4 linked regions of the Saccharomyces cerevisiae S288C genome follow. The protein of the gene in region 1 interacts with the protein of each later gene in a biochemical or structural test. Each region holds a gene or a part of one and is shown in the gene's direction. Other genes may lie near its edges. The genes, in order: PRP45, CEF1, YJU2 and PRP46.

The links.
Region 2: the proteins of PRP45 (region 1) and CEF1 form a complex in vitro, tested with the Saccharomyces cerevisiae proteins (one study listed by BioGRID).
Region 3: the proteins of PRP45 (region 1) and YJU2 form a complex in vitro, tested with the Saccharomyces cerevisiae proteins (one study listed by BioGRID).
Region 4: the proteins of PRP45 (region 1) and PRP46 form a complex in vitro, tested with the Saccharomyces cerevisiae proteins (one study listed by BioGRID).

Annotation. Positions count from the first base shown.
Region 1 is NC_001133.9:82,835-87,264, reverse strand, and holds PRP45 (mRNA splicing protein PRP45), read left to right. Parts: upstream 1-2,790; coding exon 2,791-3,930; downstream 3,931-4,430. Other genes in the region: protein phosphatase regulator GIP4, read left to right, coding at 234-2,516; RNA-binding protein POP5, read right to left, coding at 4,038-4,430. UniProt on the Saccharomyces cerevisiae protein: Involved in pre-mRNA splicing. Associated with the spliceosome throughout the splicing reactions, until after the second catalytic step.
Region 2 is NC_001145.3:690,754-695,653, forward strand, and holds CEF1 (Cef1p), read left to right. Parts: upstream 1-2,627; coding exon 2,628-4,400; downstream 4,401-4,900. Other genes in the region: EFR3 (Efr3p), read right to left, coding at 1-2,290; SCJ1 (Scj1p), read left to right, coding at 4,597-4,900. UniProt on the Saccharomyces cerevisiae protein: Involved in pre-mRNA splicing and cell cycle control.
Region 3 is NC_001143.9:259,709-263,613, forward strand, and holds YJU2 (mRNA splicing protein YJU2), read left to right. Parts: upstream 1-2,568; coding exon 2,569-3,405; downstream 3,406-3,905. Other genes in the region: CWP1 (Cwp1p), read left to right, coding at 1,424-2,143; YJU3 (acylglycerol lipase), read left to right, coding at 3,641-3,905. UniProt on the Saccharomyces cerevisiae protein: Part of the spliceosome which catalyzes two sequential transesterification reactions, first the excision of the non-coding intron from pre-mRNA and then the ligation of the coding exons to form the mature mRNA.
Region 4 is NC_001148.4:265,409-269,981, reverse strand, and holds PRP46 (mRNA splicing protein PRP46), read left to right. Parts: upstream 1-2,446; coding exon 2,447-3,802; downstream 3,803-4,573. Other genes in the region: YPL150W (non-specific serine/threonine protein kinase), read right to left, coding at 1-1,794; peptidylprolyl isomerase RRD2, read right to left, coding at 3,878-4,573. UniProt on the Saccharomyces cerevisiae protein: Involved in pre-mRNA splicing. May also be required for cell cycle progression at G2/M.

The DNA of each region.
Region 1 (4,430 bases):
TGCTATGTCTTTGGCGCAAATTTTCAATGTTTAACTAATACTTTTGACGATCTTTCTTATAGATGCTGTGGGAAAGACCCTTAAAAATGTCTGTTACCCTGCAATCAATGGTTGAAACAGCAGGAAGACGCATAATAAAGGCATATGTTTGAAGTTTGTTAGCGAATGAACAATGATAAAAGGAGTGATTGGAAGCTGAAGGTTGAGGATTTAGACTAGTTTTATATTACAACATGGTAGATGTGCAAAAGAGAAAAAAGTTGCTAGCCAAAGCTGCTGCCAGCGCTTCTATTCCGGCAATCAAAGGTTCTGTTCCGTTGGACTCGTATGATATAAAAATCATTCAATATAAGAACGCTCTTTACAAGCTGAATGAACTGAATAGGCTACTAAACGTTCTGGTACCGCATTTGAAGAAGAAAAGAGACAATGACGAGTCCTACAAAATTATTCCCCTCGTTAATTTCATCTTATCACTTTGTGAGGGTCCTATATTTAATGTAAGCCCCGTATTGGCTAAGAGGTACCATTTGCTCTGTCGATTCCAGCTGATAAAGCTAAGCGAAGTGCAGCAGAGATTATCAACTAATTTTATTGATGTAGAGGGCTGGATGTTTCCCGAGGAGGTACCCCTAGATCACTATAAATCGTGCATATACAATAATTCTCTACAATGGAAGATTTTAAATTCGCTGTCTTGCATTGCTCAAAATGCTATAAAAATTTATAATGCCAAGTTGAGACAGATTTTATTGGAAAGGGATGCGTACAAAGCTCGGTCACTTCCATTTGACACTTCAATAATTGAAGACTTGTTAAATCCAGTTGAAATGACATTGATTCTAGATTTAGCCGTTTTGATTAATGATCCAGTAAGGGATAAGTCCACCCATTCCTTTTACAAATTGCAATGGCAAGTGATGGAGAAACTGAACTCCTGTGTTCATTCGAAAATCTTCCCCATTCTAAGGACATATTACAACCAATTGCAGAAATTTTCGGAAACAAGACCTACTTCACTGTCAAATTTACAGAAGGATCTACCACATTGGGAATGGACTCTACACAGGATATACACTTTCCACTTGCGGGTTTTTTCTGTCTTGTGTGTTATTATCAGTTTCTCTAGGCAAATTTTCCTACCGAATAAACAACATTTCTTGGACATCAAGACAAGATTATCCAGCGAAAACGTGTACCATTACGATTTGATAATTTGTGAGCTGATGGCTTTGCTCTCTCCAGAATGTGATGATGTCACAGCTTTATTCGAACTGCAGGAGAATTTAAAATTTTGGACTCAAACGGCGCGTACCGATAACAATTCCTCAAGAACTCCCATTTTCCACCTTCAACCTGGTTTAGTTGTGGAATTGTTTAATAATCATATCTGCAAGATTATACCGAAATTGAGGTCCATTATGGGATTATTATCCAATTGGATGGATTGCTGGAAATATATTGAGAAAAATTATAAAACCTTCGATGAAACCAATGACTTGCGGGAGAATTTGAAAGAAAAGCTAGAAAGAGATAAGGCTCTGTATTTAGAGGTTAAAAACGCGAAAAGTAAGCTAAAGAAGAAGCCGTCAATAACAAAGCTGCCAGCCTCTTCTTCTCCATCCCCCTCACCCACATCTTCAGCAAGCCCATCAAGACAGGCCTCTTTAGAGAGCATAAGAACAAGGGCAAGGGCGCATTTAGCCTCAAATTCTTCTAGGTCTCCCTCAGTATCGCCTGTAAGGACCACTTTCAACAATAAAAACGCAGAAACGAAGAAAAGCGTGGTGTCTCCGGAGAAAAGAAAACTGATCAACGGCAGAAGGCCTAGATCCTCATCTTTGCAATCCTATACAAACAAACAACAAACCTCATATTTGAATTCTACAAGACATCCGTCAATAGCTCCACCTTCAAAGCTCAACAATCAAAGGTCCAATTCTTTGCAGTCCTCAACCATGACGTTAAATCAAAAAATCGTCCAAGATACAGTGCGGCATTTGATGAACAAAAGTGCATCTACACCCAATCCTTCTGCATCTTCATCGTTAGCGCCTTCACCAAAAGTATCCAGTATAAACAACACCTCCTCAGGAAAATCATCAAGTACCCTGATTGCCAATAGTAGTGATACTTTGGCTATAGAGACATTAACTCTAGATCCGGAGTCAAACTCCAGTGAATTGTCCATCAAAAGGGTGAGATTTGCTGGTGTACCGCCAATGACAGAGGCAGAAAATCCTAAACCAACAAAGGTGGGTTGGTACAAGAAGCCGGCTGTGCTACATTATCCGCCAATACCTGCTTCGGCAATGATCAAGCCGCTACAGCATAAGTCCAAATATAACACGCTGAGACAAGAAGAAGGGTTTACCTTTCGAAAAAGTCTTCGAGATGGATTAGAGTGGGAAAATGGCGAATCTGGCTCCGAAACTACCATGATGCCGTTTGGGATCGAAATCAAAGAGTCGACCGGGCATAGAATAGCTTCTAAAATCAGAAGCAAATTGAGATAACTCCGCACCTTATAAAAACAACTCTTTATGTCCCTGGAAAAAAAAAAGAATACATATCTAATACTATTCATATCCTTCATTGTTCTTGTCTGATGATTCAAAAGTACTCATACTATTTTTTAATATTTAATCTTTTACCTTAACGTATTATTGTAATTCTTCACGAATTTGATTTTTCCCCAGCTAAAAAGTTGATGAAAGAAGTTCAAATTATGGGGTTATTGACACATGGCAGCTCTGAGCCGAGAGGACGTATCAGCAACCTCAACCAAATATGTTTAGTAACAGACTACCACCTCCAAAACATTCTCAAGGACGAGTTTCGACGGCTTTGAGCTCAGATCGCGTTGAGCCGGCAATATTGACTGACCAAATCGCTAAAAACGTTAAGCTCGATGATTTTATTCCAAAGAGACAGTCTAATTTCGAACTATCGGTTCCTTTGCCAACGAAAGCAGAAATCCAAGAATGTACAGCAAGAACCAAGTCATACATTCAGCGGCTTGTGAATGCGAAACTAGCCAACTCAAATAACAGGGCATCATCAAGGTACGTCACCGAAACACATCAGGCACCCGCGAATCTATTATTGAACAACAGCCACCATATTGAGGTAGTGTCCAAGCAAATGGATCCATTGTTGCCAAGGTTCGTTGGGAAGAAGGCGAGAAAGGTTGTAGCACCCACAGAAAACGACGAAGTCGTGCCTGTTCTCCATATGGATGGCAGCAATGATAGGGGAGAAGCTGATCCAAATGAGTGGAAGATACCTGCAGCTGTGTCAAACTGGAAAAATCCAAATGGTTATACCGTGGCCTTGGAAAGACGTGTAGGTAAAGCTCTTGACAACGAAAATAATACCATCAACGATGGGTTTATGAAGCTCTCCGAAGCGTTAGAAAACGCTGACAAGAAGGCAAGACAAGAGATCAGGTCCAAAATGGAATTGAAGCGGCTTGCTATGGAACAGGAAATGCTTGCTAAAGAATCTAAATTGAAAGAATTGAGCCAACGAGCCAGATACCACAACGGGACTCCGCAGACGGGAGCAATAGTTAAGCCCAAAAAGCAAACGAGCACAGTGGCCAGACTAAAAGAGCTGGCGTACTCTCAAGGAAGAGACGTATCCGAAAAGATAATTCTGGGCGCAGCAAAGCGTTCAGAACAACCGGATCTGCAGTACGATTCAAGATTTTTCACAAGAGGGGCAAATGCCTCCGCCAAAAGGCATGAAGACCAGGTTTATGACAACCCACTGTTCGTCCAACAAGATATTGAAAGCATATACAAGACCAACTACGAAAAGCTGGACGAAGCGGTCAATGTTAAGAGTGAAGGTGCCAGTGGTTCTCACGGCCCCATTCAGTTTACTAAAGCTGAATCCGATGATAAATCGGATAACTATGGCGCCTAGGCCCAGGATGAGCACTAGGAAAACAAAGCATTCTTGTGCTTGAGTTGTATTATAGATAAAAAAATAAAACTACTGCATATACGTGTACATCTATATATTAATATATTCTAATCGTCCTCGTTTTCGTTTTCGTTTTCCCTTCCAATTTTCTTGAAATCATTGATAATAAAGTCATTATCGCTGAGGTGTGATGATTGACTACACTTGATTATGTTCAGAATTTTAGAATTCCTTCTCATAGCAAACTGCTCTATTTTCTTGATGGTCCCACTTACCTTGACGGGGTTCACGATCAGTCCATCGACGTCGCCAATTTTCGACATCAACATCAATGCCATGATAACAAGGTCGCAATCCTCTCGATGGCATCGGATTATCCCCGTAGACGTCTTATTTGAAAAGTATTTCAACTGCAAGAGAGAGTTACATTTTGCAGACCCATAGTCGCCCAGATTCAACGACAGCGAGCGTCGTATCTCTTGGAGTATCGACTTTATGGA
Region 2 (4,900 bases), on another chromosome or scaffold:
CTTTAAAGTCATCGTTTTGATTTTCACCAGTTGCTGTTTTTTGCAAAAAGGATTTTCTATTTCCAATGCTACTGCGATCAGAAAGACTAGATATTGGTGCAAGTCGCAGAGAATTTGATCTAGCAACGTCGATTTTATCCAAGCCAACAATATTCTCCTCATCAGGATCTTTGATTTTATTCGCGTCATCTGAAAAAGTTTTCAATTCATTTAATAAAAATGTGATATTAGTGACACGAGATTTCACTGATTGAGAACCCCGAAAAGAGCCATCTCTTTTCATATTATTTGGAATATTCTTTTCATTCATAGTTTTTTTCAAATCGCTAACTTTTGGTGCGGTGGCTCTCATTGTTTTCCATGATCTTGCGTCCTCAGCAACAAACCTATAGATACTACCTTTTGCATTAGCATCAGAAATTACAGTATCGTTAGCTTCTTCTATATTGTCATCTATGCTGTTGTCGAATTTATTTTGCTTGGCCGCAAAATCGTTGTTATCATACACTGCTTTCCCATTTGAAAAAATAGCATTAGGGACATTCTTGTACTCCAGAGGTGTAGTACGAACTTGAGAGTCCGACAGTAAATCAGAAGTAGAAATTTGATTATCACGAGACAATAAAATCTGCGCCCCCTTCTTGCTGTATTTATTTGATCCAGTATCAGAATAGTATGACAATAAATCTTCCTTGGTAAACAAAGTTCTAGTTTGCATTTTGTACTCAGTTTGTGACTTGTAGTCATTGAGTTTTAAAAAGTTAGCTGCTTGTAAATGGTACGAATAATAGGTATACTCAGGCTCAGAAACGTTCTCTAGAAAATAATTCAAACCGGATAATAGTGCCATTTTTCCATACTTGTCAAAGATCTCTTCCATCATTTCTTTTTGCACACCATGTGAATCCAGTTCACGTAATAATGAGTACAGTTTTGAAAAGAGAATGCTGCTTGGAACCTCAGTTTCAACAATGTTAAATAAACATATAATGTGGTTTTTCATGTAATGCGCCAAGTCGATGAATAATTCCAAACTGATACTTGGCTGCGTAATATGTTCAACGAGGAAATCAATATCTTCCACAACTGCATTCTTTTCAACATCCTTGACGGTGTCACTTTTCAATTTCAATAGTAGTTCATATAACATATCTGAGGTCTGTTCAGCGTAATAAGTTTTATGGTTAAGGTCTGTCATGGTGATACAAGACTGTGCCACAACTTCTTTATTAGTTGCATTTTTCAACTGGAAATTTAAAAGCTTTCTCATTATATCAAGAACACTCAACCCCACTATACTGACATCTGAAACAAGTAATGACGACATCAATTTCAAGGAAACAATTGGATTTACATTTTTATCCTTGTCGCTTAGTTGTCTGACCAAAAGAAGTATAACAATATATCGTAACTGAACAGGTATACCATTGCATACAAACTCTAGCAGTTCCTTATTAGGTGTACTTTGCAGACAGCGCAACAGAGTACGAATAGACAAATTCAATTTGTCTGTCTCAGTTGTGTTAAAATAGGATTGCAATGCTTTTACTGAAAGGTCATGATTATCTTCGGCGGCCTTATCTAACCCAATTGTACGAGTTTGTGTTCGACTTAGCCTTTTTCCTAAATTGCTCTCCAGAGCTGCTTCCAGCGACAAAGTTTTAAATTTCGGATTTCTCTCTTGGAACTTTGAAATAGTATAGGCAACAGACTTGGAAACAAAGTGGTTTAGTTGTGGGTTGCTTGAAACACTATTTGTGTTTGATATATCAATACAGCATTTCAGAAGCATGTCATCATTATGAATTCTTTCAGTAACTATTTTAAAAAAAAGATCAACAAAGTTCTGGTATAACTGGACGAATTCCATGTCACCGTTACACAAGACGTCGTCCAAGTTCTGGCATATACTACTAAATGCCAGTTCTATTAATTCAACAACAGATACATCATTGTTAAAATTGTTGTTGGAAAGAACTTTGTTCATAATGTACAAAAAATCTTTAACAAATACATTCAAATTCTCCTTACAATGCAACACAATTTTGTTCATTAAATCCAATGTAACGGCTATGTTCCCTATGCGCCGATGGTTCAAGTCGGAAGTGGAACGCTTAATCAGGTAAGTGCTAACTTTCTCCAATTTACTACGCCTCGAGTTAACGTAATATAGCAAATATGAAGTTTCCGAAGATTTAGGCTTCTTATCTGTGGTCCTTCCCGTAGGATAACATTGATTGACCAGTTTCTGATGTTTTGGTGTGAACATCATCCGCATAGACAACTGCATCGCAAACCACTTTCAGAACAATTGAAAATGAACGAAAGATGAATAATAGAGCGAATGATCTGGGTTCAATATACAGTCTGCCACTGAATTAATACTACTCCAATAGCGGGGTTGCTCACAATACTTTCAATTTATCCTGGCTGCCTGGCTTTTTCAACAAAACCATTACCTTCCTAGTAGTTCGAACAAAATTTTCTTCCTCTTCCTTTGGCCGGGGTTGAAGTTTAATGAAAAATTAATGCTATGAACTATTATGACAAAAAAGCATATGCGACTCAGGAAGATAGTAAAGAAAAAAAGCAAAACATTTCTAAGAGGACTATACTAGCATTTCAAGATGCCCCCCGTACCAATATACGTGAAAGGCGGTGTATGGACCAATGTGGAGGATCAGATTCTTAAAGCGGCTGTACAAAAATACGGAACTCATCAGTGGAGCAAAGTAGCATCCCTTTTGCAGAAAAAGACTGCCAGGCAGAGTGAATTAAGGTGGAATGAATATTTAAATCCAAAGTTGAATTTTACAGAGTTCTCGAAGGAGGAGGATGCCCAACTTCTAGATCTTGCAAGAGAGCTGCCTAATCAGTGGAGGACCATAGCTGATATGATGGCCAGGCCTGCACAGGTCTGCGTCGAAAGATATAATAGGCTATTAGAAAGTGAAGACAGTGGAGGGGCTGCGTTAAGTACAGGAGTTACTGACTTGAAAGCCGGGGATATTAATCCTAACGCTGAAACTCAAATGGCTAGACCAGATAATGGTGATTTGGAAGATGAGGAAAAGGAAATGCTTGCTGAAGCTAGGGCTCGTCTGTTAAATACCCAAGGTAAGAAGGCTACAAGAAAGATTAGAGAGCGGATGCTCGAAGAATCAAAACGCATTGCTGAACTACAAAAGAGGCGTGAGCTAAAGCAAGCAGGAATTAATGTTGCCATTAAGAAACCGAAAAAAAAATACGGCACCGACATTGATTACAATGAAGATATAGTATATGAACAAGCTCCCATGCCAGGTATATATGACACGTCCACTGAAGACCGCCAGATAAAAAAGAAGTTTGAGCAGTTTGAGAGAAAAGTCAACAGAAAAGGTTTGGATGGTAATAAGGATAAGCCAAGTAAAAAAAATAAGGACAAAAAAAGAAAACACGATGAGAACGAACACGTTGAGAAAGCAGCACTGGGTGAATCTACTACATTGACGGATGAGTATAAAAAACCAAAACTTATACTATCTGCACCAGGAACGAAACAGGGAAAAGTCACCTATAAAAAAAAGCTAGAAAGCAAAAGACAAAAACTAATCGAGGCACAAGCAACTGGCACTGTGTTGACACCAAAAGAACTACTACCCCACGACTCCGGCCAAGAAGATAATGAACGCAGTAATATAAAGAGTGGTAAACAGCTAAAATCACGCATACGAAAATTTTTAGTGCAAATGTTCGCATCTTTGCCTAGTCCCAAGAACGATTTCGAAATTGTATTAAGTGAAGACGAGAAAGAAGAAGATGCAGAGATAGCGGAATACGAGAAAGAATTTGAAAATGAAAGAGCGATGAATGAAGAGGACAACTTCATAGAACCACCATCTCAAAATGATGCGCCACGCGTCTCATTAGTAGCCGTTCCATTAGCTTACTCAACGCTACCCATACCAGAATTCAAAAACAATCCGCAGTCCGCGATTGACAATAAGTACAACTTGCTAGTCGCGAACGCCATAAACAAAGAACCTCACATGGTACCAGAAGATACGGTAGATTTTCTCAAAGAGGTGGAGTCGCGTATGCAGCATATAACCCAAGGGCGCACTTCCATGAAAATACAATTCAAAACAGCAATGCCCCCAACTGAGGTTCTTCTGGAATCGATCCAATCAAAAGTGGAGTCTATTGAACAGTTACAGCGTAAACTACAACATGTGCAACCACTGGAACAACAGAATAACGAGATGTGCAGTACCCTCTGCCATCACAGCCTGCCCGCTTTGATTGAAGGGCAACGCAAGTACTACGCTGATTACTACGCCTACCGACAAGAGATACGATCGCTTGAGGGTCGTAGAAAGCGTCTTCAAGCCATGCTAAATTCTTCTTCTTCCATATAGCATTAGTATAGCATTAATATAACTTTTATGAACTAGGACATAGAGGACTTGTGACAACGCATTACCCGGAGTTAGAACGTTTTCTTGCCAAGTTGGCCACATCGGCAAACCAGCGATGGTAATAAGATGTAGTACTGACAAAACATGGTGGATAGGCCAGAAGAGCGTGCATTGGCTGGCGAAAAGATCGAGGACAATGATTCCAAAATTATATATACATTTGATACTATCTTTATTGTTGTTGCCGCTAATTTTGGCGCAGGATTATTATGCAATACTAGAGATAGACAAAGATGCCACTGAGAAGGAAATCAAATCAGCGTACAGACAATTGTCTAAGAAGTACCATCCGGATAAAAATGCTGGGAGCGAAGAAGCCCATCAAAAATTCATTGAAGTCGGCGAGGCATACGATGTATTGAGCGATCCTGAAAAGAAAAAGATTTATGACCAGTTTGGTGCAGATGCTGTAAAGAATGGCGGTGGCGGTGGCGGTCCAG
Region 3 (3,905 bases), on another chromosome or scaffold:
TTCCTGTGATTTCTCTTCGAATGAGTCAAAAATTTGAACTCGAAATGAATGTATTAGAGACTGGGTTTCTTCGAGTTTGCTGAGATCTTGGCTATGCACAATGTTTCCTGCGCCCCTAAGGTGAAAAAAACATGCATGCTTGTTTCAACAGACCAGTGTGCATAAAGAATTTCGCCCTTAGCTGCGATTAAAGAGTCAAGGCGTGAAAAACATAGGCGAAAGTGCTGACCGTTCTTCCCTTTATCTTTTTACCATCTTCGTTATCTGTTACCTGTTCAAAAGAAAGTGGGAAAGATATTGGTGTGCTACGGTGGGATCTTTTTTTTCTGCCATTTTCTATACTTTACTTCCACTTATAAAATATTTTACAAATTCAAGGGAGACGTGTGACAAAATAATAATCTAGAACTCAATGAACTTTTGTCCTCACTACAATTGCCCCTCGGATGGATTTGAACTTACAAGAAATATCACGTTGGCGCGCGCTAAAGTCGCTTGCCAATGCGCTATGAAATTTTCATGACCTGGCACATTTTAGCACAGTGCCATTAATCCCTTTATTATGGGCATTGATGCGACTTTAAAACTGTACCTTCCTTCGCACATGCTGAATTTTCTTAATGAGATTCATCTACGATGCTTTAGAGCTAGCCTTGTTTTCTTTTTTATGCTTCAAGAGTAAGTAGTGAAGAACCCCACTAGACAAATACTAAGGGATGCTGCAACCACGTCTTATACTTCACCCATACATAACATTGGAATCTCATTAATTTTTGCAAAGATATGGTGAACAAGTTTCAAAATAAGAATGTATGTGTACCGAATCGTAGCTCGAGGTAATAATGAAAAAAAAAATCGGACATCTGGAAAGTTACGAATATAGAAGCAGATACCCCTCTTGACGGCAAACATTGTGTGCTCGACCTTCTATCCCGTTAAAATATCATAATAAACAAACCCCTCCCGCGAAAACAAAAAAAGAGAGCTAAAAAAAGTACTTCTTCGCGTTATAGATGGTGCCGCACCGTACGTCATAACTAAAAATAGCGTTAGCCACAGCTCCCTGAACGAAAAGGGCCCTTCGGCCCGATTGGAATACGGGTCCGCTTACGTCTGTGCGTGCGGGTTGTCCCACAACGGTAACTTACTCCAGGAGAGCCATCTCGAAGGTGCCACAAAAGAAAACAAAAAAAACAACAAACAATAAGCTCTGTGGTTCACGTTCAATGTAGTGTTTTTTCACCTTTTAATTTTGATAATTTGTGGTGCAGAAAAAAAAAAAGCAAACAAACAAAATCTCAATTATTTAAAGGACGATCTTAACGTTTCTTTCTTTCGCTATCTTCCTTGAATTTTTTTTCTGTCTGAAGTAAAATATCCCGTAACAAACTAATAAATACTACGAAAGTCTCAAAAAACAATAATGAAATTCTCCACTGCTTTGTCTGTCGCTTTATTCGCCTTGGCTAAGATGGTCATTGCCGATTCCGAAGAATTCGGCCTGGTGAGTATCCGTTCCGGCTCGGATTTACAATACTTGAGTGTTTACAGTGATAACGGCACTTTGAAACTTGGCAGCGGTAGTGGCTCATTTGAGGCAACTATTACCGATGACGGTAAACTGAAATTTGACGACGATAAGTATGCTGTTGTCAATGAGGATGGCTCATTCAAAGAAGGTTCTGAGAGCGATGCTGCCACTGGTTTTTCTATTAAAGATGGCCATCTAAACTACAAGAGCTCTTCTGGTTTCTACGCTATCAAGGACGGGTCGTCTTACATTTTCTCTTCTAAGCAATCCGACGACGCTACCGGTGTTGCGATTAGACCAACTAGTAAGAGCGGATCTGTTGCAGCAGATTTTTCTCCAAGCGACTCTAGTTCCTCTTCATCTGCTTCTGCTTCGTCTGCTTCCGCATCATCTTCTACAAAGCATAGTTCGAGTATAGAATCTGTCGAGACCTCTACTACTGTGGAAACTTCCTCTGCTAGCTCCCCAACTGCTTCAGTTATCTCTCAAATTACTGATGGACAAATCCAAGCTCCAAACACAGTTTACGAACAAACAGAAAATGCAGGTGCCAAGGCTGCCGTCGGCATGGGTGCTGGTGCTCTAGCGGTCGCAGCTGCTTACTTGTTGTAAGTACGAGAACAAAACCTGCATGTTTTATTTCCTTCAATATAGCTTTCTACATAATGATCACTTACATATAGCGTAATGTAATATGAAATGGCCCATAATATTCTCTTACATTGTCCTCCTACCTACATTCCTTTTCTTGCATGCAGCTCTCACATTCCCCGATTCGCTTGAAAAATTTAAACTTGTAGAAAAGTAGGTGAATGTCCCGCCGGCGGTTTCTCTGCTGCATGTAGAAAGATGGATATACAGAAAAGGAGATAAGAGTAGCTATCTCAAGTTTGTTCCACTGACTGCTAATACGCATAGAGTTGTTATTTATTGTACATATTCGAAAAAAAGCAAGAAATCACTACGGTGACCTCAGTAGAACGAACTAATAAGTCAAACCAAATTAACCGTTTCCAGGCTGATAGGAGAATACAAGAATGTCTGAAAGAAAAGCTATTAACAAGTACTATCCACCGGATTACAACCCACTGGAAGCTGAAAAGCTATCCAGGAAAATGGCTAAAAAACTGAAAACCATGAATAAGAGCCACGCATCGATTAGATTAATGACCCCATTTAGTATGAGGTGTTTGGAATGTAACGAATATATTCCCAAAAGCAGAAAATTCAATGGTAAGAAAGAGCTACTGAAGGAGAAGTACCTGGACTCCATTAAGATATATAGACTAACCATTTCATGTCCACGTTGTGCCAATTCCATTGCATTTAGAACAGACCCCGGTAATTCAGATTATGTAATGGAAGTGGGGGGCGTAAGAAACTATGTCCCTCAGAAACCAAATGATGACCTGAACGCTAAAACAGCTGTCGAAAGCATAGACGAGACACTGCAACGCTTAGTGAGAGAGAAGGAAATGGAGCAGAACGAGAAGATGGGTATAAAGGAGCAAGCAGATGACAAAATGGATTTGCTGGAAAAAAGACTAGCCAAAATTCAACAAGAGCAAGAGGATGATGAGGAACTTGAAAATTTAAGGAAAAAAAACCTTGAAATGAGCCAGAGAGCTGAAATGATAAACCGCAGCAAACACGCACAACAAGAAAAAGCAGTAACGACTGATGATCTGGACAACCTCGTAGATCAGGTATTTGACAATCACAGGCAGCGTACCAATAAACCTGGCAATAACAACGATGAGAAGAGAACTCCGTTGTTTAATCCTACATCCACTAAGGGAAAAATACAGAAGAAAAGCTCTGTGCGTACGAATCCGTTAGGGATAGTTATAAAACGAGGAAAGTCTCTCAAATGACCTAGAAAAGTAAGGAACGTACGATTGGTATCATGATCTCTTGTGATGCTGTGCTACTGTGGTTGCTTCCACACTATAGCGTCCATCGCTACTTACGAGGGGCGACAGCCCCTTCGGACTTCGAAGTGTCTGGCCGTTTTTTCATTGAATTTTCTTATAAATGAATACATATCGGAAAAGCCATTGTTGACTAAAGCAAGCCAAAGCCACACAAACCGAGGACAAATAGAAAAGCATGGCTCCGTATCCATACAAAGTGCAGACGACAGTACCTGAACTTCAATACGAAAACTTTGATGGTGCTAAGTTCGGGTACATGTTCTGGCCTGTTCAAAATGGCACCAATGAGGTCAGAGGTAGAGTTTTACTGATTCATGGGTTTGGCGAGTACACAAAGATTCAATTCCGGCTTATGGACCACTTATCACTCAATGGTTACGAGTCATTTACGTTTGATCAAAGGGGTGCTGGTGTTACATCGCCGGGCAGATCGAAAGGTG
Region 4 (4,573 bases), on another chromosome or scaffold:
AGAAGTTTGAGATATTTCACTTGATATGGACGATTTGAAGCGCTTGAGGCGAGGTTCCTCTATTCGGATATGTTCATTTAATAATAGTTCTGGAGCTACTTTTAAGCCTATTTCATTCCCAGAAGTTTTCTTATTTTCTAATGTAGTATTATTAGCACTCCGTGGCACAATGGCACCGGCAACATTTTCGTTTAACGATCCTATAGACTCCGTCCTTGAAGGATTTGCAACAGTGTCAGTTCTTGATTTCTGAATAGAACCACTGTTTTTTTTGAGAAACGACCCTGAAGATGGGGCTCCTCTATTGCTTGCAATCAAGCTTTCACTAACATTTGTGTGAATACTATTGTTGCTATTGCTGTTAGAGCTTTTTTTTGACTTGAAAAAACTAGAAACTTTTTGTAAGAAATTATTGGACTTGCGAGGAGAACCTGCAATAGAGTGACTATAAGCCCTTTGTGAGGATATTTTAGAGAGAGTAGGATTCAGAACTTTTGCTGAATCTTTAGACTTCTTTCTGCTAACCGGAGTCATCGATGTTACAAAATCTGAGCCTTTATTGAGCATTTTACTCAATGAAGCAGCTCTAGAAAGTTCAAGTGAGGGTTTCAAAACATCTTCGCTAATGCCATTAGTGTCGTTATGCGTAGCACTTTCAATAACTTTTTTGACTGATAAAACGGACCTGCTTCTTTTTGGATATTTGCAATTTTCTTGCTTTTTCCCTTGGGCTAACAACAATAACCATAGACCCGAGAGTGAATCGCACTTTTTTTTCAAAATTGATTGTTTTATTGCTTGCGTATCAACCCCTGATTGTTTAAGACGCTTCAGCAATCGCCTTTCTAATTTACTTTTAAACTGAGTCCCTCCACTGCGCTGTCTGCACAAAATTTTCTGAGTCTGATCTAAAACCACTGAACCGTAAGGCTGTAAAAAAGGGTGGCGTAAAACTTGTGACAACGATGGGCGCTCTCCCGGATTTTTAGCCAATAATCGTGAGATCAAATCCCTAGCATCGTCCGGAATAACTTTAGCATCGTATTTCGGTTCTTCATTGACGATTTTCCATTTCGTTTTAGCCTCATCGTCATCATCAAATGGCAAATATCCCGTAATTAATGTGTATAGTATCACTCCCAATGACCATATATCAATCTTGAATCCATCATAAGTCCTTCTTTCTATCAATTCAGGTGCCATATAAACTGTGGTACCGCAAACCGTTTCTAATGTCGTCTTTGTCATACATTCTCTCGTAAAACCAAAATCCGTCAATTTTGCATTTCCATTTTTGTCTAATAAAATATTCTCTAACTTCAAATCTCTATGAACACAATGCATTGAGTGTGCATAGTAAACAGCACCTGAAATTTGTGCAAACAACTCTCCGCATTCCAATAACGATATTCTACGCAGAGAAAGTAAGTGGTCATATAATTCCTTCCCTGGGCAATATTCTAATGCCATCCACACTTTTGATTCTGTCACTATCACTTCATAAAGCTTTGTAATATAAGGAAAATCGAACTGTCTATGGTAAAATACCTCTCTAACGATATTGGGATCATTCTTATCACTCGTCTTTAGGCAGACTTTACGATGTGTTGGTCTATGGAGCGCTAAATATACTTTTCCAAAACTTCCTTCACCTATTTGTTTTAAAATCTTGTAGTTTCCCACTTCTGTCAACTCATCAGAAGTAAATTGGCTGTATAGTCGATTGTACGATGATCCTATAATGCTTTTTATATTGTTTTGTTCCAATTTCGAGGATCCAACAGGATTAACCATGGTGAGCAGTATATTCACCTATATGTGGGTCTTTTATTGTCTCTTGGCAACGGATAAGGAGAACTTGCTTCCACTACACAGTGACTAGTTATTAATGAAAAACGAAACAAAATTTATTGATACAAAAAATAGTATTCGGATAACGAAACTCTTGTTGACTTCAAAATACAGGTATTGGAATTTTCGTAATGATTCGGAATGATATGAGGGAAAAAACGTTACTTTATTTAATTCATACAAGATATTTATTGTATACCGTTATTGATAAGTGTTCTGTTGTCAAGATTGGGAGGGTCCACGCGGTCAACATTGTTAAGATAAGCCGAAAATCACCACACAAATCCACGATGACCTAAGAACATTCGTTCGCTTAAATCACCTATAGTCACAATAAAGTAGCATTCAATGTGACAAGAGGAGCTATCTACTTTCAGAGAATTACTCCTCATCTCGTATTCCTATTTCGAGTTCAACAACTCTTTTATTAAGTAAGGGTGCTCAAAATTCTTCATCATCTAATACGGAAAAGCTACAATTTTGGCAATAAAAGATTATTCAAGATGTGAAGCTAACAGTAATTATTACCCACTTCATTGCATCTTAAAACCATTTCCGAGGATGCAGACACTGTGTTACATGGAGATTAGTGAGAATGGACGGAAATGATCACAAAGTCGAAAATTTAGGAGATGTAGACAAATTTTATTCCAGAATACGCTGGAATAACCAATTTTCATATATGGCCACTCTGCCGCCCCACCTACAAAGCGAAATGGAAGGTCAGAAATCATTGCTAATGCGATATGATACTTATAGGAAGGAAAGTTCTTCTTTTAGTGGTGAAGGCAAGAAAGTTACTCTGCAGCATGTTCCTACAGATTTTTCAGAAGCATCACAAGCAGTGATTAGCAAGAAAGATCACGATACGCATGCATCTGCTTTTGTGAATAAAATTTTCCAACCAGAGGTTGCTGAAGAACTTATAGTTAATCGATACGAAAAACTTCTGTCACAAAGGCCGGAATGGCATGCACCCTGGAAACTTTCACGCGTTATCAATGGCCATCTTGGATGGGTACGATGCGTTGCAATCGATCCTGTTGACAACGAATGGTTCATCACCGGAAGTAATGATACGACAATGAAAGTTTGGGATCTTGCAACAGGAAAATTAAAAACTACCTTAGCAGGGCATGTAATGACAGTGAGAGACGTTGCTGTGTCAGATCGACATCCTTATTTATTTTCTGTTAGTGAAGATAAGACGGTCAAATGCTGGGACCTAGAGAAAAACCAAATTATTAGAGATTACTATGGACATTTATCGGGGGTTCGTACGGTGAGCATACATCCAACGCTGGATCTCATAGCTACCGCAGGCCGAGATAGCGTTATCAAACTCTGGGATATGAGAACCAGAATACCTGTTATTACACTAGTTGGGCATAAGGGTCCAATCAATCAAGTACAGTGTACTCCAGTAGACCCTCAAGTGGTGAGTTCATCGACTGATGCTACGGTAAGGTTATGGGATGTAGTTGCTGGGAAAACAATGAAAGTTCTAACACATCATAAGAGGTCTGTGAGAGCTACAGCGTTGCATCCTAAGGAGTTTTCGGTGGCTTCTGCGTGTACTGATGACATCAGATCATGGGGATTAGCAGAGGGGTCTTTACTCACCAATTTTGAGTCTGAAAAGACAGGCATAATCAATACTTTAAGCATTAATCAAGATGATGTATTATTCGCTGGCGGTGACAATGGTGTGCTTTCCTTTTATGATTATAAGTCTGGTCACAAATACCAATCGTTGGCCACGAGAGAAATGGTAGGCTCTCTGGAAGGTGAACGGAGTGTTCTTTGTAGCACTTTCGATAAAACAGGTTTAAGATTAATCACTGGAGAAGCAGACAAAAGCATAAAGATTTGGAAACAGGATGAGACGGCTACAAAAGAGTCAGAACCGGGGCTAGCGTGGAACCCCAACTTAAGCGCCAAAAGATTTTAGTGGGAGTAGATGGAAAAAGTACGTACCCTGTATACGTGTATATACAATGAGATAGCATCTATAAATGGACTTTTCCTAATCAAAAGGTATTGGTTTATGATGTTTTTTATTCATCTCAGTAGCCGCAATAGCGCTCGGTAACTTTATACCACAGCAGTCTCCCCAAGTAGTATGAACATGTCCTTCAAAATTGCACTCATCATCCTTATCAGTCCCATCATGTATGTGGCCTCTTGGTGGAGATACACCATCCGGACAAGGCAAAAACTCGCTAAAGTAAAAATGTTGCATGATGGGCAATTTACTAAGGACTTCGGCTTTATACATTTTTATCATCCCTTCAGCAACTTTTGACCAAGTCTTTACACCGCTGATGTCATCTAGCATAGGAGAATGCCATCTCAAGGAGGCGGATGACTTGACCTTATTAATAAAAGCGATACAACCAAAATATAAGTACCGATGAGCGAACATTTCTACGAGCTCATTATTGTGAATTGATATCGGCTTTAAGTGCTTGTGGGTGGTTAATTGGAAGGCACCAAATAGAAATGGAAGGAAATGATAATCATCTAATCCCCAAACACCATGAGAGCCCGCAGGCTCAAGCCAATATTTAGTTTCTAGTATCCTCATTATTTTAAGGTATTCTATAAAAACTTTCAGCACGAGGTTAGTTGAATCGTTTGAAAGATTGAATATTCCATAACTATAGAGTCCATAAAGTAAACACATGAAATTTAATTCATGACCTGAACCATAATCAATTCT